Notamacropus eugenii: one gene and its partner. The protein of the gene in region 1 interacts with the protein of each later gene in a pairwise test. Links are inferred from orthologs where the notes say so. Each region holds a gene or a part of one and is shown in the gene's direction. Other genes may lie near its edges. The genes, in order: CCND2 and CDK6.

Region 1 (15,094 bases):
ATCTTTTGGATAGGAACATTAAATAACATACATATTTCTCATTACTACATAGTACGTTATAAAAATAGACCATTGCTAGGGCATAGAGAAACTATAAATAAGTGAACAAAATTAAAATATTAAAAGTATCCATAACCCAATAAAAATGGTAATTAATACAGGGAACACAAGCAAAAGAGACAGACGAACAGAGACTTGATAATGACATCCTTATTTAGGGTTCTAAACAGTTCTATGGTCCAAGAACAGATCATAAAAAGATTTAATAACTATGTGAACAATAATGATAATGAGAACATCTACCAAAATTTGTGGGATGCAGCTAAAGGATTCCTCCAAGGAAAAATTTTGCCTTTGAAAAATATGCATTAATAAAATGCAAAGAAAAAGAGAATAACTGAGAATGCAATTTAAAGAACTAGAAGGTTAATAGACGCACAAACTCAAAAGAACAAAAAGAAAACCTTGAAAATTACAGGAGAGATAAAATGAAAAACAAAAAGGCCAATAAGCAAACTGAAAGCTGTGTCTTCGAAAAGAATAACAAAAGTTGGAGGAACCACAGAAAATAGATGCATTGATGCACTATTGGTGGAGCTATGAATTGGCGTAGTCATCCTAGAAAGCAATTTGGAACTATGCCCCCAAAATTATTCAATTGTGCGTACCCTTTGACACAGCAATACTATATCTAGCCTATTCCCCAAGGACATCAGAGGAAGCAGAATATGTCCTGTATGTACAAAAATATTTATACCAGATATTTTTGTGGTAGCAAAGAATTTAAAACTAAAAGGGTACCCATCAATTGGAGGATGGCTGAACCAAATGATAGCATATAAATGAAATGTAATAATTTTGTGCTATAAAAAATGAAGAAACTTGGAAAGATATGTAGAGCTTGAAGCACAGTGAAGTGAGAAAAACTAGGAAGATGATTTATACTGTAAAAACAACATTGTAAAAATGAACAGTTTTCAAAGACTTAAAGACTCTTACCAACCCAATAATCAGTCATCATTCCATAGGAAAGATGAGGAAGAATAGTACCCATTTCCTCACAGAGATATGATATACTAATATTTATAATGAGACATATTTTTGGAGGTGGGCAACGTGGTAATTTGTTTTGCTTGACTATGTTTATTTGATACAAGGATTTTGTATTTTTTTTAGTGGAGGATGGGATGGCAAGGAGAAAAGCGTGAATGATTAATCCTTGAAAAAGTGTTGAAAATTTTAAAATTAAATTAAATATTAAATGAAATGTGGAGAGGAAAAAACAAAAAAAAGAAAATAACAAAATCCATTGCTCATTATACTTAAATGAATCGATTCAGAACCAGGAAAAACATGCCTTCAATATTTCAAAAAAGAAAAACAATAAAATGGAACTGAATGATATATAATTAAAATGATCAAACTTGAACCCAGGAGAGGTGAAAAAATGAACTCTGCTCACTCCACTGAGGGGGACACTAGTGGTGTGGAATGCTGACTATACTCTCAAATATGGTTGACATATTGGTTGATGTTGCTGAATTACTTTTTTCTCTTTTCTTTTTTAATCTTTATTACAAAGGAAGGCTCATCGAACAGGGACAAAATATAAAAACAAAAGGCATCAATAAAAAAGTATAGATTGATTATACAAACATTTTCTTTTATAAAACAGTGGTTCTGAATTTGTTCAGGACAACCTTGCTTTTAAGTGCTTTTTAAAAATGTTAAAAATAAAACTGTTTACAGGGAATTCAAGATATAGAAGAAAGAACATTAGTTTGGGAGTGAGAGAACTTGAATTCCAAACTTGACTTTCTTTCTTACTGCCTGTGTGACCTACGGGAAGTGACTATATATCTTAGGACCTTAGTATCATCTTCTGTAAAGTAAGGTTGGTTTAAATCCTTTCTAGGGTCTTTTCCAACTCTCAATCTTATGAAGCTATGAAAAAAGTTAGAGAAGCTTGGTACTCTGAATTGATCCAACTATCCTGGAAAGCAATTTGCAACTAAAAGTCACTAAATTGGCTCTGCTCTTTGAACGAGACCCCCAAAGAAGTTAAAGACAGAACAAAACACTGTACCCATGTGCACACACTTTATAGCAGCAAAAAACTGTAAAGAAAATGAGTATCCCTCAATTGGAAAACGGCTAAACAAATTATGGTGTATAAATGTGATGGAATATTATTATGCCCTAGGAAATAGAAACATGATAGATTCAGAGAAATCTGGAACCCTTGCATGCACTGTTGCAAAGTGAACTAAGCATAACCAGAAAAACAGCAAGCTACAACACTGTAAAGGAAACAACTTTAAAAGACAAGAAAGGCCGGAGTGGATGGCTGGTGAAGTAATGGCGGCCTTCAGGATGCTGACTTCCCTTTGGCTCTCCCTGGCAGCATCCTGGGGCTCAGGGTTTCAGGGGATCAGACCCCTGCCTCAAACCCTGCTCCTGATTTTGGCCAGGTCCTGTGGGATGGTTCTTCTTGTTGTCATGTGGGCTCTGAGACTAACTTGTTGCTCAGAGACAATCCAGAATTCACAGATGATCAAGTTCAAAGTATAATCACCAAAATGGCTGGTTTGCATTTACAGGTTTTTAAACCAATAAAGCAGCAACTTAAGCCACCAACATATAAGGTAATGACAGAAACACAACGGTAGAGAGGCCATTGAGGCAGCTAAAAAACGGCTAAAAATGCCTCCTGTACTGAAAGGAACAGAGCCAACAAATGATGCATTAGCAGATGATAAAATCCTTGAAGGAACCAATACTGCCAAATCTGTGTTTACTGATTTAACATTTAGCATTGTCACGCCATGAGTGTTTCGTTGTTGTCAGGGGACCAAGTGGTTGTGTTCTATGCAAAGACCCCTGGAAAGCAAAGAAGACAGAATGATACAGGTCTTTTCCCCAAAAGAAGATCACAAGATTTTTCCACCACTAATGTTCCAGGAAGAAAATCTCCCAACTTTGTTCAATCAGCATCGTGACAAAGATGTCCTCAATCTCTGTGTTGTGCAGTTTGAGCCAGATTCAACTAATTATGTTAAAATTCATCACTAGACATATGAAGCATGGTAAAGTAAACATGACTGCATTCAACAAGACCCTTTGGTGGAATGATAAATAAGAAAAAGATTGATGGTTTGCTGATTGACCAGATTCAGAGAGATTTAATGGATGATGCCACAAATTTGGTGGTTCTGTATCACATGCTCCATCCATATGGACCCTCAGCTAAGCAAGCTAAAAAATAAGGAGTTTAGGGATGAGACTTAAGATCTTTGCAAAAACAGAAACACAAAAGGGAGAATATATAGAGTTGACTCTACAGGCTTACCAAGAAACATTAAGTAATCATCCTACAGCTTCCTGAAGAAAGTACTTAGATAAATTATCATTTTTATTAAAAAAAAAAAAGACTTAAAATCTGATCAATACAATAACTAATCATGATGTCAAAAAATTGCTAAGGAAACATACTTCGAAGTTGCATTGATGGACTAGAAGTTCAGAATGAGACACACACTTTATGTAGTGATTGATTTGCTTAATTGTATTTTCTTATTAAAAAGGAAGGCTTCTATGTGAAGGAAAAGGAAGTTGGTAGGCAGAGAGAGCAATGTGAAAATAAATAACAGAAATAAACAGCAATCCAACATTTAAAAAATAGCCAGAAGAAAGCCGAAGGAAATTCAGAACAGGACACGGATCAGCAGGGCAGTCCTGTTACTACTGTCTGAATATTATTATCATCCACAAGGAAAGATATATCCACATCAGTGAGATTCCCAAACCAGTGGCATGTTTAAAGTATAATTTTCTGACTCTCCTGTCGTTTGCCATGACTAATCTTAACTGTTCTCTGTGATTTCCCCCAACATTTGATGCCCACTCAGGAATTCACCTCGAAATCCCACAAAGAATTATTTGACTCAGAGATCATCTAGCCATAATGAAAATGTGACCTAAGGTAGATCACATTAGAAATTAGCTTGAATTTTCTACCCTAATTTCATCTTCGATCACATACAACAACAAAGTAGAAGGGTTGATTTTCTAATCTGTTTTGGCTATGACTGGGCACCAATATTGTTTCAAGTTAACATAAGTACAGATGATCTTAGTTAAAGGTGAATGAGGAAATACATCTAGAATGGATGGACTTCTACTATGTTCAACAGAATGTAAAATGCATATATTCAGGTCAATCCTAAAACATTTTGCAGATTACAAAACTCTGGGAGCAACCTGCTTTGTATCTTTAAATTTACTTGATTTCAACATACCTAAACTCTGCAAAAAAGCATTAAAAGAAAATAATTACTAAACAATATATGTGCAATGGAAAGGACTGAAATATTGCTGTAACATAAGAATATATGCAGAGAAACGTGGAATACTTGCAAGAATTGATGTAGAAGGAACTGAGCAGAACCATGAGAAGAATTTATATGACTATAACATTATAAAGGAAAACAACTTAGAAAGACTTAAAAATCATTTTACCACAAAAACAAAAAGCAAACCATGAAAACTAAATACTACTTATTTGCCCAGTTTTTATTCTTTGATTTAAAAATGACTAATATCCAACATCAGGATGTTCAACCTTCTTATGGATGTTCTACTAACAAGGCAACAAACCTTGTGTTTTGAAAACAAAATGTGAAATTATTAGAAAATATAACCAGGTTCAATTTTGTTTTAATTGTTAACTTTAATTGGTGAATGATAAAGAAAACCACAAAATCAGAAGTAGACTCAGTTTTACTAGGAAATAGATTTTGGAAGATGAGGATGAATTTCTTTTGCAATTGCTGATTAAAAAACTAAATGTGAAGACAAATTGCAATTATTCTACAAAACAATCTCTGGATATGGTCTTGAAAAACCAGTAAGAGTTTTCTTTTAAAAAGAACTTGGCTCAGCTTTTCAGAAACTCAATAATGAATCTAAATAAAATTTTAGAGACACATGACTTTTCAGCCCCTCATACAATTCCTTTGGCCCTTTCAGTTTTTAAATTACACTCACTTTTTATTTCTTCATTAATTTTTACTAAACCATTTTACTTCCTACCTTTCCACATACAAATCAAGTGTGGGTCAAATCAGGCACCATGATGCAAATCAACCACAACCAACCACCAATAACATTAACACATTTAAGAAACTGTAACTTTTACTAATTACTCCTCTTCAGAGGTTATTATAAAATATTTGCTTGAGTCTCATCAGCAGCTATTAAAAAGGGATTAAAAGAAAAGCAAAAAATGTTTTTTTAAAAGAATACTTCTGAACTCTGACAACTTTTAAAAATAATGTTTCTAGATACCTCATAATACCCATGACACCCAACTGGGGTACTCAAGCCCCATAATCCTCCATCTCCCAATCTGAGACAAATGATTTTACCCTCAGGGCTACCCTTTTTTTCCCCAAGAGCTCAGCTCCAAACCATTTCCTCAAAGGTACAGCAAACTTGCCTATGGATATAAATACAAGTTTACACTGTTACTTCCTGTTATTTGGTTGTGTGTACCTTCCACCTAAATCCACACCTCAAGCCCCTTCAGGGTCCCAGTTTTAAATCCTTCCACTAGAAACTCAGAAACTGCCAGCCTGACTTTGGGAAAGGAACTTTCCTCCAAAGTCACCCCACAGGAAAGGTTAAAAAGGCTCAGCAGTGCTTTGAAGAAGGTAATCAATCACCGGTTAAGTCTACACTTAAGGAATCACAGCCCCAGGTGCCGGGTACCAGTGGGGTAGCCTCTGCGCCCCTCACGTCTCGGGCATCCTCTGCGCCCCTCACGTCTCGGGCATCCTCTGCGCCCCTCACGTCTCGGGCATCCTCTGCGCCCCTCACGTCTCGGGCATCCTCTGCGCCCCTCACGTCTCGGGCATCCTCTGCGCCCCTCACCTCTCGGGCATCCTCTGCGCCCCTCACCTCTCGGGCATCCTCTGCGCCCCTCACCTCTCGGGCATCCTCTGCCCCCCTCACCTCTCGGGCATCCTCTGCCCTTGGTCAGTGGGGCTAGGTCAAATGGTGCATTGTAACTGACGTGAGTGGATGGGTAGCCCCAGAGAGCACCAGCAGCAGCGCTTCCACCTCCCCTGGCTTTCCTCTGACTAACCCCCTCCCACCCGAGCCCCCCAGGCTTCCAGGCGGCAGCCTGCGGAGGAGTTGGCCGAGCATGAACGCTGCCTCGGTGAAGTCCACTGTCTGGAGCTCGCTACCTGAGCCGCAGAACAGCCTGCTCACTTGTGCGCTAGCCCAAAGGTCCCTAGGTCAGGGAGGCGGCTCTCCTTCCGAGCTACTTGTGCTTGGACTTTGGGGAGGAGAGGGCGGGGGTGTAGACGGTCAGGGACTACACTCGCGATCATCAGCAGATCTCCACGTTCAGAGGCAACAGAACAGACGCCCGGGGGGGGGGGGGGTTACACACACCCCCCCAGCAGAATTAGCTCGCCCCTGAGCTCAAAGTAAAAGAAACTTCCAGGGCGGTGAAGGGTCTCGAGCTGCAGGCCGAGCAGCCGCTGCAACTCTGGACCCGAGTGGCCAAGGCAGCTCCTGCACACACAGCTGTCGGCCAGACCCCGGGGAGCCAGCCTGGCCCAAGCCGGGGAGGCTGGGGGGGACCCTTCGGCCAACACCCCCCACCCCAAGCTGCGGCTTCCCTCCACACCCTTCCCCCTCTCCCCGACAGCTTCCTCTGCTCTCCCAGCCCCTTCCCCCCACGTGCGAATGACGTCAAAATTCCTCGAAAAAGCCGCGTGGCGGCTGCAGAGGAGGGATTGCCAAGGTTGCGCCCCCTCCTCCTCCTGGCCCCCCACGGGGATGAATTGGGGGGCGGTGGCCAGCAGGGCGCCCCAGGACAGAAAGCTGCGGAATGCAGAGGATGGGGGTTTTTTTCCTCCCGGGGAGTCGGGGGCACTCCAGGATGCGCTGTCTCCTTCAAGGAGAACTCCCACCACCCATATGGTTGCAAAATAAATTTCCTTAAAGCTGTAATAAATTTCCCGGCCCTGTGGGAAGTGTGAAAGGCTGAATCAGACAGGAGAACCGTGGAAAGTTTTGACCTTTTATTTATTCATCTTTACTTTTCCCGGAAAGAAGAGTGGGGTGCTAGTAGGTGAGCATAAGGCAAGCGGGGAGCCTCTTACAATGCCCCGGCAGCATCTGCTGTTTTCGGAAGAAAACGCGAGTCTGCATTAAAATATAGTAAATAAACAGAATAATCAGACAGATAAAGAAACCCACACACACAAGACCCGCCCCATCCTCTCACCTGAAACGCCCTGGGGATCCGAAAGGGGATTGCTCCCTCTTTCATACCTGTGCTCCCGGCCCAGGGCTGGGCACACTGACGCTGTGGCTGTAGTCCACGACCCATGCCCACCACATTCTCCTTTGATTCTCATTTCCCTTCCTTTCCTCTTCTTTTCTTTTCCTCCCCTTCTTCCCTTTTCCTCTAGGTCAAAAAAACTCCAAAGGAGAGAAATAATTTTGCGCTGAGATTAATTTTCAAATGACCTTAGGGTTAATTATATTTTAGTTCTCTGACCATCTTTCCTCTCGTGAAATAACAAAACACCCACTTATTCCAGAAAGGATTATTTCTCCCCTGTGCCCTCCCCCCCATCTCGACCTCCTAGTTTGGCTAACGGAGGAAACGTCCCCCCTTCTCCCAGCTTGTGGCTCGGTGGCACACTGTTTGCAGTTGGAGGCTTTGGCTCTGTGCTTGGAACACGTGCCTCTAAACTTTCACCCAGCTCCGAGCTCACCTGGCCGGGGTGTCTTCGCCAGGTGAGTGCGTTACTGCGGATTCCTGCGCGGTTCCACGCGGCTCGGAACGCCGGGCTGGTCCCTGCCCCTACAGCGTTTTGTACACTTTCCAACCGAAACTGCACAAACACGTGGAGAAGGGGCGGGGGTGATAGAGAGACGAGAGAACGTTTATTCCCCAAAATTCAGCTGGAAACTACTGGGCACGTTTCTTTGTGGAGCGGAGCTGCTAGAAGGGACAAGAACCCACATCGGGAAAAACTTGGATCCTAGAGATTGTTGTAACCTCCAAGTCAAACCCAAAGCACTTACTTAAAGTAACTTCTGACCTGCTCCCCAAAATGCGCTTTTTTGTGTATGTTGCCTAGAAACCAAACTGCTTTCTTCTTAGCGCTGTAGTCCTTTTTTATTTTGGGGTTGGGTTTTTTTTTGTTCTTAATGCAACGTTTTAGACCCTGTAAATGCCATAGACCGCTCGTGGGGACAAACCCCCTTCCCCCACGAGGGAAAAATTGGAGACCGGAGAGTGATAAAGGGCGCTGCTAGCGTATGAGAACAAGTCGGTAATGGGAAGAAGGGAAGGAAGAAACTTTTAAAGAGGCTTTCGTGGACTTAGCCTGCCAAGCGGAATTTGCCCGAGCCCACGATCTTAATGAATGAAGGGCAGAATCGGAGATTTCTTTCTTGTCCCTCCTCTCCCCTCCCCCTTTCTTTCCTCAGCCTCCTTTTGCTGGTATTTCAAAGTAAAGCAAGACTCGGCTAGGAGAGAAGGGGGAAGGGCGACGGAGCAGACTTAGCATCTTAGCCTACCCCCAAAGCCTCTAGGACTCGCCACCCCAGCTTCCCTCCCCCGGAGTGAGTAAGGCCTGGGGGAACTGAGACTCGCCTCATCCCACCACAGCGCATCTTACAAGAACGGTACTTTCCATTTTCTTGTATGGGGATGGGGCAGGGACTGTGACCAGTTATCAAATAATGCAGAATATGAATGACACACTGTCGGGTTGGAAACTGTCCCTGGCTTCTGTCCTTGATTACCCAATTACCCATCTTTTCTTTAAAATACGCCTCCCTCCTTTCTTCCATTCTCTGCTCAACCCTCCCGCCCCCCGAGATCACGGCTGTTTGATCTGTAGGTTAGGTGAAGTTTTGAGTTATTTCTCAATGGCTTTTTAAAAAAGAGATGTTTATTTATCCTGAGTGACTCAACTCCCCAGTCGGAAACTCCAAGCTGACTAAAATCAATAGTTTCAATGAATTGACTGTATTCCCAGTAGTACTATACTCAAACCGAGGGTCAGCTGTGGCGCAGAACAGTTTCAAGTCTGCAAGTTGGGTTTGCCAGCGAGTTTTTAATTTCTTTTTCTACAAAGTTAATGGTTTCCAATTAGCAATTCCATATCCTTCTATTCCTGCCCTCCCACAGAGTAGATCCGACACCGATTGTCCCCCTATTGATTAGGTCTTGAAGGTCCCTCCTTCCTTTCCCCAGCCCCCTCTTCTCTTCTCGCCAACTTTGCTTTCTTTTGATATAGAGGGGAATGCTTCCTACTAAGAAAAAAAAAGTAATCTGCCCAGTAACATTCAGCGCGCAGTAGCAAGAGTCTCTGAGCTATTGGCTATGCAAATAGAGGGAGGGGAGAGACAGCTCCCCAAACTCTTACTCACCCTTTTAAAGTGATATGCCCCCTCCCCTCAACCATCCACCCCTTCCGCCCCACCCTCTTTTAAAGGGGCTGAATTAATCGCCTGTACTTTGGGTTTTCTCCACCTCTACCTATCTTTTGCTACTCTACCTCTCTTGGTCTACACGAAAAACTCTTGAACAAGATCATCCAACTTCACCGCCTCCACATCGCATCACCTTCTCCCCACCTACCCCCTTGGCCCTCACATGGCTCTTTCTCATTAAAGCTTGCAAATCATTCTGCCTCCGCTTCAAGGGTGGGAGAAGAGCCCAGTGGCGCCCGGTTACCCCTCAGCACGTGCTAACTCTGCCCTACGGGCGTGGCTAGGAGATAGGAAAGATGACATCCCCTTTTCCTAATATTGGATGCTGGGGGTGGGGGTGGGGGTGGGGGGAGAAGGTAATGGGAGAGAACAGCCGTAGCCCTAGAGGGAGGGTCCGTGCACTTAATAGCCCTAATAAAAAGAAAACGAAGTATGCCAACCACGCATCCTTGGGGAACGCAAATGACTGCGGAGATAGTTTTGCGAAGAAGGAAAGGTGTGGGGGGAGGGGAGCTAAATCTAATCAGTCCCCTCCCCCACCTCCCCTCTATTTCCTAGAAAGCTGTGTCTGTGTGGTCAGAAACCTCCGGCTGCTTCTCCGCAGATAGAGGCAAAAGTTGATAGAGGGGGCTTTAGCTCCCGAATGCTGGCTACGGGGGAATCCCTGGGTCCTCGGGTTCCGGCTTGCTGCCAAACTCCTCTTTTTCCCGACCTTCCTTATCCTAAGAGCTCCCGTCCTCTCCGGCCAATGGCTTCAGGCCTCCCCGCCCCCCGCCTAGGCGCACACCACCCCGGTAGAATGCTTCCCGCTTGGAGTTCCTGTCTGCTGGGGGTGCATCCACCCTCCCTGGACCCGTCCCCCTTCCTCTTCCTCCTGTGGCTCGTCTAGAGGAAAGGAAGGTGGTTTAAGCGAGCGCGCGCGCGGGACTCCGCAGGGGAGGCGGGGACGGGACATTGTGTTCTGAGCCCTTCTAGCCCAAGTTCCCTGGGAGTGGAGCTTTGGCGTTCCGGGAGCCTGCATCCACCCTGTCTGAACGTGGGCGTGCAATAACTTTGTTAAAATCAAACTCCGATTTCCACTTAAAAGATCCATTTCAAAATTGTCCCCTTCCCCCCTCCCTGGCATCCATCCTTCCCTATCCAAGCATCTGGAGACAGACAGAGGAAAGTCAAAGTGAGAGGAGGCGGGGTTTTGCAGGAAGAAATGGGAACCCTCCCGCCCCCCACCCTCAGCGCGTACACAGACTGCACTGAGACTTTTGGGACACCCCGGATGATAGGGCTCATTGAAAAAGTGGAGGAAGGAGGTGAAACGGGAAGCTGTCATTTTTGGGGGGTGGGGGCTACCCCTATACGTGGGCCCCCGTTTCCTTTTTTCCTAGAGCGGATAGAGGGAGAGGGCAAAGGAGAAAAGAAAGGGGGCAGAGCGTTGGAGGTTACGTCTGACCAGCTGCCGTTCTCCATAATAACGAGAGGGGAAGGGAGGGAGGAAGGGAGACTGAAAGAAGGAGCGGAGGAGGAACCAGGGGGAGGAGAGTGAGTCGAGGGAGAGAGGGAGGGGAGCTGACGGCCCGGCCGGCTTACGTCACTGCCTCCTCTGCAGGAGGAAAGAGCCCAAGACAGACCAGAAAAGTTTGAAGGGAGAGCTGTTGGAGCGAGTGCGGCAGCCCCTCTTAAAGCCTCTTCCTCGCCTCCCCTTCCAGCCCCCCCTTCTTTTTCTAAAAGAGGGAGGTAAGAGCCCCCACCCCCCAAAACCTTTTCTAATCTGGAGGACAGGGAGGGGGGCGGGGAGGAAAGAGGAGCAGGCTCCTTGGGAACGTCATGGAGCTGCTGTGCTGCGAGGTGGACCCCATCCGGAGGGCTGTGCCGGACCCCAGCCTCTTGTTCGACGACCGCGTTTTGCTTAACCTGCTCACCATCGAGGAACGCTACCTACCCCAGTGCTCCTACTTCAAGTGCGTGCAAAAGGACATCCAGCCCTACATGAGGAGAATGGTGGCGACCTGGATGCTGGAGGTTGGTGTGGACCCTCCCTCCCCCTGCCCCGTGCACGCCTCCCACCTCGATTTCGGGGGGCCTCTGGAGCTCGGGCAGCGCGCACCCTCCCGCTACGCCCGGCTGTGCCGCGCGCGCTTTGCTGGACTCGTGGCCTTTTTTTATGATCCGTGCGCGAAGCAGGATTGGGGGTGGCGGCCGGGGGGGGGGGGGGGGTCAGGCTTGGGAGCCAGCACGCGTGTGCAGGTTCGCGTGTGCTTCTCTGCTTCCAGCCCCGAGCCTGCGGCGTGTCTGCGGCGTGTGCGTGTGCGTGTGTGTGTATGTGGGTGTCCGCGCCCGCGTGTGCTTGTCTGCGCGGATGGGTATGGGAGCGGAAAAGTTGCAAAAAGAAATGCGTAAAAAGCCAATGTATCCCAGCCCCGAGTCTCCGCATGCGGTCGGGGCTCCGCTGTTGGCATGGGAGAGTGGGCTGGGGGAGGGGGAGTGGGCTGAGAACGAAGGAGGCAAAGATGCCCCCCCCCCCCCCGCACACTCACACACACACACTCACACTCACACACACACACTCACACACACACACTCACACTCACACACAACTTTCTCCTCCCCCACTCAAAACTTTGCCCAAGTAAGTTTCTCCATGTGCCCACGTATGCATAGCCCCAGACCTGCCGTGGTTTCGCCATGTTGCTTTGCAAATTCGGGTTCAAGAAGTTTAAAGCTGCCCTCGGACCTCCCGAGGACCCCCACCCCCACCCCAGCGCCCCTCTTCTGTCTCTTTATTCTGCCCCCACCCCCACGCCCCTGGAAGGATTACTTAAAGAGTTCGGTTTAACAAGTTTGCTTCGTGCGTTGGAGCTTTGGGTGGGGTAAGGAAGGAAGGGAAAGGGGTTCGGGACCCCCCCTAAAAGAAGTAAGACGGTTGCCGACCCTCAGTTTCTCTTTCCTCCACCCCACCCCCACTACCTTTCCTTGCTCTGATCCTGGTGGGGCCCAGCGGGACTTAGCGGTCACTTGCTCCTTAGTCGGACCTCTGTAATGAAGCATTCTAAGGGGTCAAAATAAAAGTGCCCAAGCACCCCCAACCCACAGATTCGGAAAGCCCGAACCCTTCTCGGGGTTTTCGTGCTGAAAGGGCTCCTCTGGGAGTATTCCTCGATTTTTAGTAAATTTTTTAAGCAGCCCCGGCAACTTCTGCAGCTCTGTGCTGCTGGAACTGCGACTTCCCTTCCTTCCCCCCCCTCCACCCTCACCCTCACCCGCACCCCACTAGCAACTACTGGATCTCGGGGCCACGATCCACCCCCACCCCTCCAACACACACACCTCCCCAAGCATTTCTTTCAAACATAAGAAATAATAGAGCAGGGGGTCCTGGGGTCTGAATGTAACCAAGTTACTTGGATCATTTTGATTTTATTTTTTAATAAGAAGAAAATTTTTAAAAAGGAGGGGGAGAGCCAGCAAAAGTACTACGTAGCAAGAGAAAAGTGGAATGGGCAGGCTACTGCTTATTCCTCTAATTTTGGGGATTTTAATTCATTTCCATTTTTTACTTTTATGGAATCGGGATGTCAGATACCTGGTCAGCTGTCTATAACTTCCTCTGCCTCTAATCTTATCACTCCATCACATCCGCAGCCTTTCCCCACCCCCTGAAATGAAATCGTTTGAGTTGGTTAACTGTATTCTGGTTCTAACCTTTTTCTTTCTATCTCCAATGCTGTCTTCTCCTCTCCCTCCTTCCCCCCCATTCTAGGTCTGTGAAGAGCAGAAATGCGAAGAAGAGGTCTTCCCTTTAGCCATGAATTACCTGGACCGGTTCTTAGCTGGGGTGCCTACTCCTAAGTGCCGTCTGCAACTTCTGGGTGCTGTCTGCATGTTCCTGGCCTCTAAGCTGAAGGAAACAATCCCCCTGACGGCAGAGAAACTCTGCATTTATACCGATAATTCTGTCAAACCCCAAGAGCTGCTGGTAATTAATGCCTCCGTCTCTTCTCCATTCAGCCTTAGCCCCTTTCTTGTCCCTCATCTTCCTAAATTCTTCCATTTACTCTTTTATGCTGATAACTTTCTTGTGGGTGAGGTCTCCTTCAAGACAAGAAGGTCCAAGTCTGAGTTGTTTAAATGTATACTTTATATTGGTAATAGTAGGTATTTTGGTGAGAGGAATGATGATGGGAGTCTGCTAATCTGCAGATTTTATTTTAATGTTTGGATACTGAGAAAATAGTCATCCAACTTCAGATGACCACTGTTGGAGCCTGACTTGATTGTAGATTTAGAGCTGGAAGAGATCTCTGAGGTTATCTCATCAATTTCACCCCCTCATTTTACAGATGAGGAAACCGAGACATTCAGTGATGGAGTCCCTTGCCCAGACTTACGGTATTAGTAAACAACTTGAGAGCTGGGACCATATTTCATAATACTTTTTATCCCAATGATACCTTAGACTAGTAGAATATTCAATATTTGTTTGACCTTTGGTTTTTAGCATCACTAAAGTGTTAGACTTTTTTTTTGGCAATATTTGATTTTTTTTTTTTTTGCACCAGGTTGGGAGGAGAAGGGGAGAGTATTGAGGACTTACAAGCCAGTGGCCCTGCTTGATCCCTGCCATGGAACTTTTTGGTTTATTAGACACCACCCTCCCCCTTCTACCCCCCCTCGACTTTATTAAGAGTACTGAAAACTTTTTCTCTCTCATTTTTATACAAAACATCCTTTCTCTTTTTCCCAGAAGTTTCTCTCATATACCAGGAATTGGACTAGGTCTATGTCTCTTCCAGCTCTGTGATCTATAAAAAGTGTTTGGGGTTCTTCTAAGGAGATTTCATTTAACTTGTAAAGGGGGGCTTTCCTATTGGGGCTGTGCTGCCATCTAGTGGCAGAAATTCATAACCCTAGAGGTGGGAGGAACGATTTGCCAAGGGGTATATAGACAGAGGCAGTGAATGACTTCACCTTTGAAACACTGCCAAATTTCAGCTGCTTCTCTGAGGCTGAAGAAAAGTGGTTTCCTCTAGAGAGATATCTCTTTTTAAAATTGTGCAAGAAAAGGCTCTTGCACCAATATCCTTTTATAGAACTTAAGGCTGGGGTTTCAACCTAGCTTTGTAGGCAGTAAGACCTCAGGATTTCACCAGTTTCCAAAAATAGTTGAAGCTCACTTTGGAACTTATGGAGGGGAAACTGTTGGGTTTGGGGACCAGGCTATTATTCTGTGGGTAATGGAATGTGCCCATATCAATTCATAAGAGCCGGAAGAAAGATGTCAACATCAGTGACAGCTCCATTCATTTCAACACACTGACTGGCAAAGTCAGAAGTCATGTGTTCCATTTAACAAATATTCTTTAATCATATCCTCTGTGCAAGACAGCAAACTAATGGACCAGGCTGACATTTTGTAAAATGACTTTTGATTCAACAAGCAAGGTATTCTGCTTGCTTAGGACAAATGTTCAGTTCAGGGCAGCATTCATAGGAAAATAATATAGTCTCTGACCTCATGGAACTTTCAGTTGAGTAGGGGAGGTGAAATGTATTCATTAATGTACTCAATGTA
Region 2 (14,367 bases), about 150 Mb from region 1:
AGGTATTTGTAGAAATACATATATATATATAGATATAGATATAGATACATATATCTATCTAATTCTTGAGCAAAAGGGGGAAAGGAAACAAGGCTAGGTGATAATCTCAAACAGGACAATTACACAATGAATATATTATGGACATGCTAAAAAGTGATGATAGAATATGAAAACAATATTCAAAAAGGTAAGAAGTGTCTAAGTATTTTCTTTTTTAATTTTGAAGCCCTATTAGATTGTAGTTACTAAGGATGCTTTTTTGTTTTGTTTACCTTTTTGCAGCAAATATAAAAATCTTTTGATCTTGCATGCTCAAATAGAGTTTACCAGGTCAAAGTTAACAATAAAAAGGTAAAAAATCTGCAGGTCACTTTCAAATAGGTGACAAGTAAGATTATATCAAAGACTGAAACACAAACATGAAAAAATTCAGACTTTTAAGAAAGTAGGACGACTTTACATAGGACTTGTTTTTACATGAAATACAGAGCAATATGTCAAGGCTCTATTTTGAAAAGAAGGAAATGAAAACATCACGGAAAAAATATGACATAACATTGTATTCTACTATCTGTTAGAAAACAGCAGCTTTTAGGTTAGTTAGAAAGGTAAAATTTACAAGATAAAAATCATAAGTTTACAATTTCAGGGAGCTTAGTTGAAAGATACTGATGATGAAGAAATGTTTTTATTGGAACAGTGAAAGTTTGGCTTCTGTAGAAAAATGTGTAATTATACATAAATGATGGTGCAAATTCATCTGAGCACTGATCACTTTCTGAAAAATATTTTTATTTTTTCAACTAAACACAAAATATTTTTAATAATTTAATAACAGTAATAACAGCTGGCACTTACACAGGGCTTTAAGGCTTACAAAATATCATATATTATATATATATTATCTGACAACAATCCTGTGGGGGAGAAGCTATAATTATCCTTATTCTTAAGGAAGACTACCTTTTTAAAAAATTCCATCTTAATGTAATTATTTGCAAATATTTTATTTACATATCTGTTTATTTTGCAGTTTAAAGCAACCTAAAACAGTATATTTAAGGAAAATGAAATCCAGGAATTCTAATTTTCCAATATAACATCAATAAAATGGTTTTATAACTCAGGATTTCTGATGAGGGTAATATCAAAGTACTGACATTAAGTCAGTGTTCTTGAGTTCAGTGGAAGAAGACCTCATCAAATGGAAATTAAATTTAGTTCATTGTTTATAAACTTCATACACATTTTGTTGTGATAACCTGTTACCTTCAGGAGATGTTATCCATAAACAAAAACATTCTGGTGTTGACTAACTGTACTTAACTTAAGATAAGCCTCTGGGCACTTTTTTTTTTTAAACATGAACTGGATATAAATTAATCATAACCAAGGAACTACCACCAAAAAATGGATGAGTGAGGCTAAATCAACATAAAAGGTAAGCAATATGAATGAAAGCAGACTATATAAAACCATCTGAACTCTGTGTTAAAATATATATGACTTGTTTCACTGTGATTTATGTGAGCAAGACTTCTCATAACACTCAGTTGAGGAATTTCCAGCCAAGATTTAAATGTTGACCAATTCAGTGACAACACAGAAAGGAATTCAGTGTAGACAGAATCCCCTTCTGAAAATCTTGAAACTGTTCACAGCTCTTTTGTTATATTTCAAATTGTTTGTTTACTGAAACTGTTCTTATTGTGAGTTAAGGCTGTGATCATTTATTGACAATTGCTTCTAGCTTAAAATGCCTTCATTAATATTAACCATACCCTTCTGCTGTTTTGGTTTTTAAAAATACTAATAAGTATGATAATCACCAATGCCACTTGCAATTGTATGTTTTAGGCTTTAACTTGAATTTTATGGGACAATCAGAATGTATATTTTATCCATTTCATGATGGCTCTAAAAACACAGAACCTGAAGATTACCCTCTAAAATCTTCAAGTCATGTGAATTGCTTAGAGACCTATCTAAAAAAGATAGGTTGTTCACAAATTTATTGAATTAAAGGATAATCTCTACAGAAAATTTATTTCAAATTATCAGGTTTATGTAGTAACATTTTAGCTTTGTTTACACAGAATTAGTCCTTTCTATCATTTAAAATATATTTATAAGTTAAGATAATCGATTTAATGGAATTCCAAATGTGAAGCCTTGAAGATTTTTTAAAAACTTAATCACTATCACTTACACAGCTATATAGAATGTAATCTTTTGTTAATGAAGAACAAAAATCACACTGTGCAATCAGTAGCCTGGAAAAATAAAGTTTAATTCAACAAAGCCAGATACTATTTGCAATGAGAATATTTTCAAATGCAAATCAGAATTCTGAAGGATTAAAATTTTTCCCACAAAACAAAAAAAAATACGATTTCTTAATTTGATTTTAAAGTGTTTCTGGAATTTCACAAATAAACGACATTTGCTTTGGGACACTTACCTATTTCCAATATGGCACTCATTAAAAAAAAATCTTCTGTAAAATAAATCATGAAGATTTTCCCCTCAAAAACCTCCTTTTCATCTCAATTAATTTTTAAGGTTTTCTCAGCAGGTCAGGATTTTTTTTTTTAAAGGTTTCATATTTCTGCATTCCAAATAATGCATCTGAGTTGCAACTCATCAAATCACATTCTAGTTTTTCTTTAACTATTATCTTATATCTTTTTTTAAAAACTCAAGTTCAGTCTTTTAGCTTACCAGAAATGCCTTAGTGAGCCTCAGCAGCTGGTAATTACTTAATAATTGTGAACCATCCAGCCTCATCACCGAGATCGTTAACTATACGAGTGCCTGACAGCTCCCAAAGGAAGCGAAGCAAACAAAAACAATGTAGCTCATCCTGAAAATGAAAAGTGCTCGGACAGAAGAGTGTTTTCCTCTCTGCAAGCTGTTCAGGCAGCCACTTTAAAAAGGGGTGGGGGGGACTGAGCACGGCTCTGGATTTGCCCTGATGATAAGTTTCTGGTGCAGTGTTTACCCCCTTGGCCCCTCGGAAGGACTCCGAGTTGTTTGGGGTTCTCCCACCCCCTCCAGCACACAACAGAGCCAGAAGCCTGGCCAGCTCCAATTCCATTCCTCACGCCCACTCGGGCTCGGCGCTAGGCTCCGGGCTCCATCTCCCGGGCCAGGTCGCTGCCCTCCGGGAGTTTACCATCTAGTAGCTCCACCTCGGCCAGCCCACCCCAGTGGTCCCCGAGAACCCAGGCTCCGCTTTCTCCCCCCAACCCCCAGTGAAAGCCGGAAACTTTCATTTAGGAATTCCCCGCCCCCAGCTCGGGAGTGCGGGCTGCGGGAGGGGAGCTGAGCAGAGCGGAGCAGGAGAGGGGGCCCCCGAAGCGGCCCGTCTGGGGTTGCCTCTCCTCCCTCCGGAAGGCTTTCATTTGCACATTCGCCTTCAGCTGCGCTCCGAGCCGGGACCCCAGTCGGTGCCTCGCGTCCCCCCGCGACCCCCTCCCTTCGGCCGGGTGGGGCCCTGGGAGGGAGCCAGTCTCCTCCTTCCCCCGCCCCCGAGTGGGGCCCAGCCCCGGCCCCGGCCCCGGCCCCAGCCGCCGCTGCTGCCGCCGCCGCTCCGCTGGTCTCGGCTCTCCGGGCCCCCCAAGCCCCGGCCCCGGCTGCCGGGCTACCTGCTCCGCGCCGACTGCCCAACACGTGCGGAGGGACTGACTCCCTGGACGGCCGGGGGGGAGTCGGCCGGGCCCCTCCAGGTGAGGGAGCTCAGCGAGGTGGGGGGACGCGCCTGGGGAAGGGGATTTTGGGGGGGCCTGGGAAGGGAGGGGGCGTCGCAGCCCTGGCTCGGGTTAACCCCTTCCCCGCCGGAACCCCCGAGGATCAGGATGAAGGACGCTTTGGAATGCAGACGGGGGGAGGGCTGGGGGGGGGGTGTCAGTTGTATGGCCCGCTGCCCTTGGCACCGGGCTCAGTTGCCCATCCTTACTCGTGGGGACCCCGAACGCCCCGCCAGTCCCCTGCACCCCCACCTCCCCGCGGGCATAAACACAAACACTGCAGCTCCGGGGCTCTTCGGCCTCATCTGAACTTTTCCAGTAGGAACTTTAAACTGACATCACACTCTCCAGTTAGCATTTTTAAAACCCTTGTATCTATCTCCTTCAGGGAACACCCTTGTCTCCCAATCCCCCCACCCCCCAGGTATTTCTTCTCCTTCTCCCGCGTCCTTGGGGACGCTAGTGGGGGAGCTGTTAACTCCCCGCCACGCGATAATTAAACAACAGGCCCCTTGATGTCCACTTCAACAGGCTTGCAAATGTCCTTGGACTTGTGTCCAAAATCCGTTGGCGTCCATGCTTTTAAGATGACACTAGAATATACATTTGCATCTGCTCCTAAGTGATGCTTCCGTTTAAAAAACAAAACCCCCAGAGGCACACTCTCCCCCACCTCCACCCCCCCCCCTTCACCAAAGCCCTGGAACCCTAGCAAAAATACGTGGCCCTGAGCTAGTGCCCCGGGGAGCGACTAACTTGGCCACGTGCAGGACACATATGGTCTGTATGCATCCATGCACACGCACGTCTTTGCCGACGTCTGCGCATTTGTGCGTCGCTAGCTGTGTGTCTTTTCCCCTGGCTATGGCTCGCCTCTTGTCATTGCGCTAGTGGCGACCCTGACGGTATTTGGCAGGCTTCGGCTGAGGCACATGAAGGATTTCATTGACTGTGAAGAGAGAGAGCCGAGACAGAAAGCAGAAGGAGGCGGCTGCAGCCTTTGTAGTCGCGGAGGAATGCGGAAATGTTGAAGCACTATGTCAAACTTTTTTGAAATGGGGTCAAGTCACATTCAGCCAGCGTGGGAAAGCAAGGAAAAAAAAGTAAGGGAGGGAGAGAGAGAGAGAAGAGGGGGAAAAGCACCAGCTCTCCTGCTTGTGTCTTAGACTGAGCCTGGGCCGGCAGCAGAGAAAGGGGGCTGGGGAAGGGGGAGAGGCAGAGGAAAGGGAAACCCAGAAGAAAGAAAGAAAAAGAAAGGGAAAGGTGAGACTAAGAAGCAGAGAGAGAGAAGTGAGGGAGAAAAAGACGCTGGGGGCAAGGAGAGGATAAGCCCAGCAGAAAGCCCCTCTCCCCCAGACGGGGGTGGAGGCAATTTTGGACTTTCAGGCTTATTTTTTTTCTCTGGGGGTGGGACACCTCCAGGCTTTGCCTCTGGTGACAGAAAGGCTCCTAGCTCGGCTAGGCAGGAGCCCTGGGCTAGAGGATGGTGTCTCAGGATGGCAGAGCCGGGCCTCGACGGCGGCTACCTGTGTGGCCCTAGACCCACAGTGGGGAGGTCCCAGAGACTCTTATTTAGCGTGTTTCCAGTGATTTCGCCCTCACCATTTAAGGAAAACTTTGAGCGACGTGTGTGAGTGTAGGGTTTTTTTTTACACAGTTCTCTGACTTCTGCTCTCCTTGAAGTCTATTGTGGTCGCTACTTTCATTCATTATCGCTTGTTGCTTTGTAATTAATGACCAAAGGCGAGCGGACCTGGGATTGAACCTCTCAGGTACTTCAGAATCTTCCAATTCCGAGAGGTTGCTGGGGTGAAAAATGCAGGGCCCGGAACGCAGGGGGGTTGGGGTGAAGCAGCAAGGTCAGAGTGGATGAATGGGGGTGGGGAGAGCGGGGTCTGCCCTTCTCCAGGCCCCCGCCCCCAAACTGCAGGCGGTCCCAGGGGCTGGCGTATTGTCCTCCAAACTGTAACCGGTGGAGATCTCTCCTAGCAGGCTGCCACCCCACACCCCGGGGTTTTCTTAGAGCTGTTCCAGCTACTATTAGTGCATTTCCCTAAAGTCCGAAGTTAGAATAAATTGCCGGCTACCTGGTTGGCATCTGAGACCTGTGCAGGGTTCGGAGGGAAGACGACAGAGCTGAGGTTCCCAGGCTGGTCCGTGCCCACAGGGCACAGAGCTGCTTTGCCCCGCCCGGGGCAAAACTAACTCCACCCCCCCCACTTCCTCGAATACCTCCAGGGCTCAAAATTGCCATCTCTCTTCTCTTCCCCCCCTCCATACCTTCTGCGTAGTTAGAGGAAGAAAGGGTGGAGGGTGAGTGTGGGAGTTGAGGCTTGTTCTAGGGGAGGAACCCTTTGGAAAGAATTCCAGGGAAATACAGAATTAGGCTAATCTTCTTCTGGGATGACTGTAGAGGAGGTAATATGGAGGAATATCCATGCGATGCTCCCCCGGGAGAAATTCTCCCCACTGCAGTCGGTTTCCTCCCTTTTGTCGAACCCCCTGCACCACCTCCTCTGCGTAAGTGCGGGGCAGAGACTTGGGCCGGCTAGTGCTGCTTCTAGGAGGGAGGTCCTCACAGTCAAAGGAAAGAATGCTATTGCTCCCATCCTCCCTCTCGGTCTCCCCATCCCCCTCCTCAAAGATGGGGCTTGGTGGAGAGTCCCCCAAGTAAGGCCTGGAAGCAAAAAAAAAGCTATTGCTCCTAGGAGCCTTAACCAGACTTTATTGCACCCCCACCCCTAATTTTGCCCCGCAGGGTCCTTCCTACGGCTTTACTCACAAGTACTCCAACGCTCCCACCTTTCGTAGTGCACTACACACACACAAAAGTTTAGCACAGTATTTTACACTTAGTAAGTGCTTAATAAATGTTGGTTGACTTGACCGGTTTGCAAATCCCACTCCCTAGGGGCAGTGCGAGGTTTTGGAAATGCACCCAAATTATGTTTAGTGTCCCCATAGTCTTAGAGTAGTTTTAAGTCTTAATAGCTTAGAACCACAAAGGCTTTGGGGACGCCCAGAATATAAAGGTGAAGATTAGGAGACGAGAGTGCCCTCAGACTCCCCGCTTCCTATCGGATCCCACGGCGCCCTCCGCCCTCCCCTTGCTGAAGCTGTGTCCAAGTCGATTCCCTCCTTCCCCGCGGGGGCCCCAGCCTCTTCTCCGGGGAGCTCTCGGGTACAAATACAGGTCAACCTCGTGCAGGGAGAGAAAGACGGGCTGTTTCCTTACCGGCCTCAGCGCAGCCAAGTGCCCAGGGAATCCTGGAGGATTCAAGGGCAAGGTGGGGGTGGAGGGTAGGAGGCTTGGGAGGGATCCGGGAGCTGCCCCCAACCCCAGGATGCTTGAAGGCACTTAATTCTCTCCCCCCCCTTCTCTTTTAGGTGAAATGGTTTGGGATTAAGGAGCGCTCCCCCGGGACCCCTCGATCGTCTGGACTGCGGCAGCAGCAGCAGCAGGGTTGCGGGTGGGGAGCAGCCGGGTGCCCCGAGCAGGAGCGAGAGGCGTGGGGGCTGGGGGCGCACGCGCGGGGGTGAGGGCGAGGAGTGTGTGCAGCAGCAACCCAGAGTGCGAGAGGGGGAGCGGAGGAGGAGGAGCAGCAGCAGGAGGAGGAGGAGGAGGAGGTGGCGGCCGCCGCGTCCGTCCGGCAGCTGCGGTAGCGGCGGCGGCAGAGGCGGCAGCGGAGGCAGCGGAGGCAGCGGAGGCAGAGGCAGCGGCAGCAGCGGGAGCCCGGGTGGCGGCAGCGGCAGCGGCAGCGGCAGGACCCTAGTCCTCCACCGCCAGCTCCTCGTCCTCCTCCTCCGCCCGGGGCAGCACCGGCCCGGCGGCCCGGCCGCAGCGGCGGCGGCGGCATGGACAAGGACGGCCTGAGCCGGGCTGACCAGCAGTACGAGTGCGTGGCCGAGATCGGCGAGGGCGCCTACGGGAAGGTGTTCAAGGCCCGGGACCTGAAGAACGGAGGCCGTTTCGTGGCGCTCAAGCGCGTGCGGGTGCAGACCGGGGAGGAGGGCATGCCGCTCTCCACCATCCGCGAGGTGGCGGTGTTGAGGCACCTGGAGACCTTCGAGCACCCCAACGTGGTCAGGTGAGCGAGCGCCCGGCAGCCCAGGGGGCGGCGGGGGCCACGCGCGGAGGCGGGAAAGGACGCGGATCCAGAGGGCTTCGTCAGGCCAGGCAGGGGCCCCATCCTGGCTTGGTGGGGCTGCTGAGGAAGATAGGTGCCCCCAAATATTAGGATCCCCATTCTACAGGTGGGGAAACTGAGGCTCGGGTGGGTGAATCACCTTGGCCAACTGCATATAAGATAGAAAACTCAAGCCATTATACTTCCATTTTCTAGATGGGGAAACTGAGGCTTAGAGGAGGGAATTTGGCTTGCAATCTGTGCAGCTTGCTATTGTCGGACAATTGGCTCCAGAGCCTCAGGACAGCTCCCCACCCCCCTCCCCAGCCCCCCAAGATAGACCGCTCAAGTATTCTATCTCTCCATTTTCTAGTTGGAGAAACTGAGACTTAGAGGAGGGAATCTTGCTTGGCTGCATTACCAAACTTGTAGCTGTACTTGAGAACTATCTTCTATGCTACACATTCCATTCTACCGTGAGTTGCTTGAGAGGGGTGCTGTTTTTTGCCTTTCTTTGTGTCCTCAGCACTCAGCACTGTGCCCAGCACCTAGTAAATAAGGAATCCTCGTTTCAGAGACTCATTAATAAGCAATAATGCCTGCCCAGCCCGAGTGTGCCCCAAATGACGTTGTCCCAGCCTTGCCAGCCCCTTCGGGCCGTTTTAGGGACCTGACCAAAGAAACCCTCTGGGGACCCCCACGTTTTTATTTCACTAAGTGGGGAATTTTCGAGAGATTAAAAATGAGAACATTCGTGGAGCTGAGTCGTTGGCAGTTCTCTGTAGTTTTATAGAAAATGCTTCGGGTTTCAAGAATTTTCACCAGCCCCGTGGCTCGTCTAGTCATCCCCACATTTTATCTGTGTGCTGTGTAACATTAGAGGTGGGGATACTTGAATTGTTGAAGGGTGTATGTGCCTTGCATGTCATTTTTTTACCAGAAGTAGGATTACGCCCTTTGGTTAGTTAATTTACAGCTCTCTGCTAGCCCCTTCATGATTGATTCGCTTCTCAATTCTAGGCTCCTTCGACCAATTTTGGGGGGAGATTGAATGCGTCTAGATTCTAAATAACTTCCCATCCAGCCCTGCTTTTTCTGGAAGGATTGTGTGTGGATGAGGAGTAACCTTCCCTAAGGTCTCCGTGGTTTCCTTAGCATCTTTCCCAGAGAGTAACTCTGTGGATGACAGTATGTTGATAAATACAGCCAGATATCTCCGTGGGTATTCTAGCAGTCGATGGAAGGGGAAATTTCCTCTCCGTCAGTGGGGTGGGCCACCTTGGAGGATTGTCCCTTCCAGCTCCCGGTTACTTGAAGTCTACTAGCAAAGGCTGGATAACCACTTGTCCTAGGTTTAGGAAGATTTCCTGGCCAGATATGGGGTTGGACTGAACATAGCATAGAATTCTAGTTTTAAAGGGTCAAGGTGTTGTGGAAACAGGCCCCAAAAGTTTAAGGGATTTAGCCAAAGTCCCAGGGCTGGGATGTGAAGCCAGAACCTCCTACTTCAAATGCTACTTTTTCCACTCCCTGGTAATGCCCTCCTTGATGTCCCCTCCTCCCTGACAACAGAACTGTACTTTTTCTGCAGAAATTTTCCCTGAGCTCTTGGGCTGGATCTCTCTTTTCCCACGATCGCACCTTACCTTGAATTGTAAAATGTCCTGTTTGATTCTGTCTCTTCATGCAGAAGAATGCTAGTTTCCTTGCTGTAATCGGATCATTTCCTTTTTACTAAGCAAGTTCCCTGAGGGCAGGAATTGAGCCATTTTCTATCTTTGGGTCTCTAGCACCTGGTTCATCCTGCTGCTTAATGAATACTTATTGGATTGAATTGAATTAATAACCCAGTTAACCCTCAAGCTATTTGTTTTGACTCTTCAGCGTTGGAGGGTTTTCTTGGCAAAGATACTAGAGTCATTTGCTGTTTCTTTCTCCATCTCAATTGACAGAGGAAACTGAGGCAAACAGGGTTAAATGACTTATCCAGGGTCACTCAGCTAGGAAGTGTCTGAAGCCAGATTGGAACTCGGGTCTTTCTGATTCGAGACCACGGCACTCTATCCACTTGGCCACCTAATGGCCCTCTTTAAATCCTGGCATTGTGTAATAAAGGGAATTCTGTAGTAGGAGTCCAAGCACCTAAGTCTGAACCATGGTTCTATCACCTGTGTGAATTAGTTCAACTTCCTAATTAGCCCTCATCTGCAAAATGAAAAGGTTGTATTAGATTGCCTGTAGCTTTCTTTCCAGTGCTGGGTCTCTGTCCTAGGACCCTTTGATTTCCTTCTCTGGAGACTTAAATTCAGAACCCTACTCACCTGACAGCCCTATGTGCTGTTAGTATAATCCAAATACCAGAAAATTCTTTCTCCCTCTGTCACTTTGCAGAGTGTCTGAAGTGTTAATTCATAGCTATGAATGCCTCTCCAAGGAAAAAATGCATCCTTTCCAGGGAAAATGAATGTCTTTCAAGGCAAATCCCTTATAACCTAGAAATGAGAAACTCTGGCCAAGTGGCTCAGGTTCCTCACTGAAATTTCATCACAAAAGACTCCTGGAAAACTTAATGAAAATCCCTCAAAAAAAAACGGTCATTTCCTTTTAGGCAGACCTTGTGTCCCCATAGTAGTGAAAAGGTGAAACATCGCTGAGAGACAGAATTGAATTCATTTATTGATACCGCTCTGTCCTAAGGGACAACCAAAACCTGGTCTCTGTAGTTTAAAAATGAATCAACAACATCAGGATTTGTTCTTTTTTTAATAAAAAAAAGTTTCATTCTAACCTAAACTTTGTCAGCCTAATTGTCCTTGAAAACGTCTCCCTTCCCATTCAGTTCACTTAAACACAACGGTCATCTAGTAAACACTCGCCTGGCCTGGCATGGCCTTTGCTAGATGTTGATGTTGGGGGTACCAAGGCAGAAATGATTCAGGCCCTCACAGGCCCTGTCCATTTTGGAGATTATATGCGTCTGTGAAATGGGGAGGTTTGGGGGGAAGAGTCTGTTTCATAATTATTGAAATGAAGATGTGTGTGAGAGGGTTAACATAACGGTGTTTCTTGCACTGTGTGGTCAACATCACATCAGCATGCCACCATCTTGTTCTCTTGGTAAAGATTCATGGTTTTTAATGAAAAAAAAACAAAACAAAACCAAGGCACAGAACAGGGTTGTGGTTTTTCTATCCGCAACTGGTAGAAATCTGTAGCTCATTGATGTTGCATTGCTTGGGAAAGGAGAATGGAGGGGCTGGCCCTGTTGTTTTCTCCATGACTACCTCAGCAACTTTCCCTGCTGGTCAGTTTATGGATCTGTGGATGATATTATGTAAATAAGAACTGCTAACTATGTCTGTAAGAATTCAAACAATTTAAGATGAGTCATCAAAGCGGAGACCCAGGAATGACCTTTGAAATACCAAATCCCATATTCACCCTGGGAATCTGTGTCTACACAATCTTTATGGGGAAGTTTCAGCTTGTCTCCCTATATACCCTTTGTGATCTGTGTGTTGTTTTGTCATAGCAATAAGGCCAGGGAGGGGATATGTCTAGTTTAAAGGGTACAGCAAGGAAAAAGAAATGGAACAATGAAATGATGACACCTTTAAACAATGTGCCATCTAGTAGAATTGTTGCAAGGGCTGTGGTATTTGCGAAGGTAAGGAGGAAAGCCTTCCTGGATCAAGGAGGGGATATCTAAAGATAGGATTTGATTTAAAGGCTACCTGTTTTCTGTTTTTTATCTTACCTCTAACCATTAAAAAAATTCAAAACAAACCTACTTTGCTATACTTATATTCTCATTTATTTATATTGAAATAACTGAATGGAATATGAATGGGACATAAAGAGGAATAGATTCTTGTCAGTTGTAGCCTCTGGAACACATTTCATCCTAGTTAATATCCTCAAAAGACTAAAATAGCCATAATCCTGTGCGACTTTAAAGGAGAAACACTCCCCATAGAATCTGATTGCTTGATTCATTCTCATTTGCTCACTTCCCACTCTATACTGGGTAGTGTGCTGAGCTCAGGGAGCAGATGTCCAGTGATTCTCCTTTGAAGTCTTCTGTCATCCACATGGCCTACTTTGAGGTGTATTACACAGGTGTATTTAAAGTCCTGTTTGTCCTATGGAGAACTGATTCTATGAGCCCCCATGGGGGATTGGGAAGGGACGGGCAGTGAGGACTTCTAATTATTTTTCTAGTATCAGATGATGGATTTATTCTGAGCTGTCCCATAGACTCTTGGGATTGGTGGGTGAGTCCTTATTCAAGTTATTCTGGCTGTGCTAGGACAAGTCTCAGGATGCTCTTGTGTGTAATTTCTGGTGGACGTTCATCTGAATTAAAAACAAAGGCAACTGCTACCTATTCAAGGAGATTAGGTGGAACCCTTGAGCCTCTTAGAAGTTTCCTAGTAAATCCTTTAGTTGGCAAGATATCTATCTACTTCTGAATTAAAACAACAACAACCCTGCAGGATTTGGCATCCGGTTTTTCAGAAAAAAATCTCTCTCAGGGTCAGACAAGCTAATTGTTGATGCGTCCCATCCCTCCCCAACCTCTTCTCTTTTCCCTGACTCCCTTTCTATTTCTACTCTTTTTCTCTTGCTTGTTACTGTTTTGTTTTTTCCTGCTTTTGCCTTGGGTCCATTGTTGGAATCCATGGGCATTGCTTGGCCTGGCTGGGTGTTCAGGGCTTTAGAGAGGAATGAATAGGAGTCATCTGGGAAAGAGATCAAGGAAGGATTCTACTCCTCCTCACTCCCCCAAGGGGTAGTTTCTGCTAGAACCTGGTGCAAAAAAACCTCGTGATTTTTGCTGCGTAGTTCAGGCCCTTTTCACCTCTCCCTGGGCCTATTACAATAGCCTGCTAATTGGTAGCCTTGCCTCTAGTCTCTCCCCTTTCCAATTCATCTTTGTCACAGCTTGAAGAGTTATTTTCCTAAATCAGAGGTCTGACCATGTCATTCCCCTCCTCAATAAACTACAGGGGCTCCCTATTAATTCAAGGAAGAAATGCAAATTCCTTTGCCATTTAAAGCCCCTGACAACCCGGCCTCACCCCACCTTTCCAGTCTTAGTCTGTTACTCTCTATTGTGCATACTGTGATCTGGCTAAATTTACCTTTTTGTCTTTAATTGTATTGTATTCCCAGCACCTGACACAATGGTTGACACAGAATAGGTCCTTTAAAAAGGCTTACTTTTTTGATTGAGTGAGGAGACCAGTCGGGTCTCCGTGCCTTTACACAGTCTGTAGCTTATTCATTTCTAACTCCCAGAACTCCTAATTTCCTTCAAAGCTCAGTTCATGCCCCGCCTTCTATAAAAGCCTTTCTTTCTCCTCCACCTCCCCCGCTGCTGCTTAGTGACTTTCCCAACCCCTAAAAATTTACCTTGTAGCCATCTTATATATATTTTGTTTCGAGTTTATGTAAACATGTCATGTCCTCCAGTAGAACACCAACATCTTGAGGACAGGGGCTGTTTCACTCTTGCTTTATGTACCCAAAGTCTGATAAATGCTGTACAATATTGTCAGACAGAGAACTGTGACTGATTATTTAGTATCAGTATGACAGCTCGCAGATGAATAATATCATACCTGGCATTTATATAGGGTGCTTTAAGATTTTCTGTTTATTATCTCATTTTATCCTATAAGATATGGAGCGTTAGTACTGACAGCCCCATTTCACAGATGAGGAAATTGAGGTAAGAAGTTATGACTCAATCACATATAATAATAATAACTGGTACTTAAAGCAGTTTAAGGTTGGTGAAGCACCTTTACAACCACCCTGGGAGGCAGGTGCTGTTATTATTCCCATCTTACAAGGGAGAAAACTGAGGCAGAGGTTATATGACTTGGCTAGGGTCATGAAGCTGATCAGTGTCTGAGGCCAGATTTGTACTCAGTTCCTAACTGCAGTCCCAATTCACTAAGTCTCCACCTGGCTGCCCTCACTAGTAAGTGTTAGGTGGAATTTGAAACCAGTCTTTTAATTCTAGTTCCAATGAACTCTTACTGCTCCACTGCCTCCCAGGGACATGTAAATGCTTTCAAGTCATCAGTGGATATATTTTGATGCAGGACAGTGATTTCATTGGTGTAGGGAATGCCTAATGAAGAAACTTCTTTTACTAGTATGGTAGAAAACTGGTGTGCAATTTTCTACCCTCAGAGAATTGCCTGGGGCACTCTGAGATTAAGAGTGTGTGCGTGTGTATGTGTGTGTAAATGTAAGGATTTGAACCTAGGTCTTTCTGACCACAAGACTAGTTCTCTGTCCATTCTGCACTGTTGTGTTCTAGTTAAGAAACCTTGAGAGTCTTCCCCTTCCTAGATATTTTTTTTAAGACCATTCTTTGCCTCATTTTTTATTGAGCCTTAATCACTGAATGGGAGCTGCATCGGTCAAACTGAGACCTGTTAAAGTCCTTAACTTGAAAAGGCCAAGTTTCCCCACTG

The links.
Region 2: the proteins of CCND2 (region 1) and CDK6 interact in a two-hybrid assay, tested with the Homo sapiens proteins (2 studies listed by BioGRID, with this or other methods). The link is inferred for Notamacropus eugenii from reciprocal best matches to the Homo sapiens genes CCND2 and CDK6.

What each region holds. Positions count from the first base shown.
Region 1 is NC_092874.1:201,061,942-201,077,035, reverse strand, and holds the start of CCND2 (G1/S-specific cyclin-D2), read left to right. Parts: upstream 1-8,537; 5' UTR 8,538-8,715; intron 8,716-11,019; exon of another isoform or gene 11,020-11,131; 5' UTR 11,132-11,349; coding exon 11,350-11,544; intron 11,545-11,589; exon of another isoform or gene 11,590-11,818; intron 11,819-13,282; coding exon 13,283-13,498; intron 13,499-15,094. UniProt on the Homo sapiens protein: Regulatory component of the cyclin D2-CDK4 (DC) complex that phosphorylates and inhibits members of the retinoblastoma (RB) protein family including RB1 and regulates the cell-cycle during G(1)/S transition.
Region 2 is NC_092874.1:47,526,363-47,540,729, forward strand, and holds the start of CDK6 (cyclin-dependent kinase 6), read left to right. Parts: upstream 1-7,421; 5' UTR 7,422-7,604; coding exon 7,605-7,837; intron 7,838-14,367. Other genes in the region: uncharacterized protein, read left to right, coding at 3,186-3,728, 7,137-7,289. UniProt on the Homo sapiens protein: Serine/threonine-protein kinase involved in the control of the cell cycle and differentiation; promotes G1/S transition. Phosphorylates pRB/RB1 and NPM1.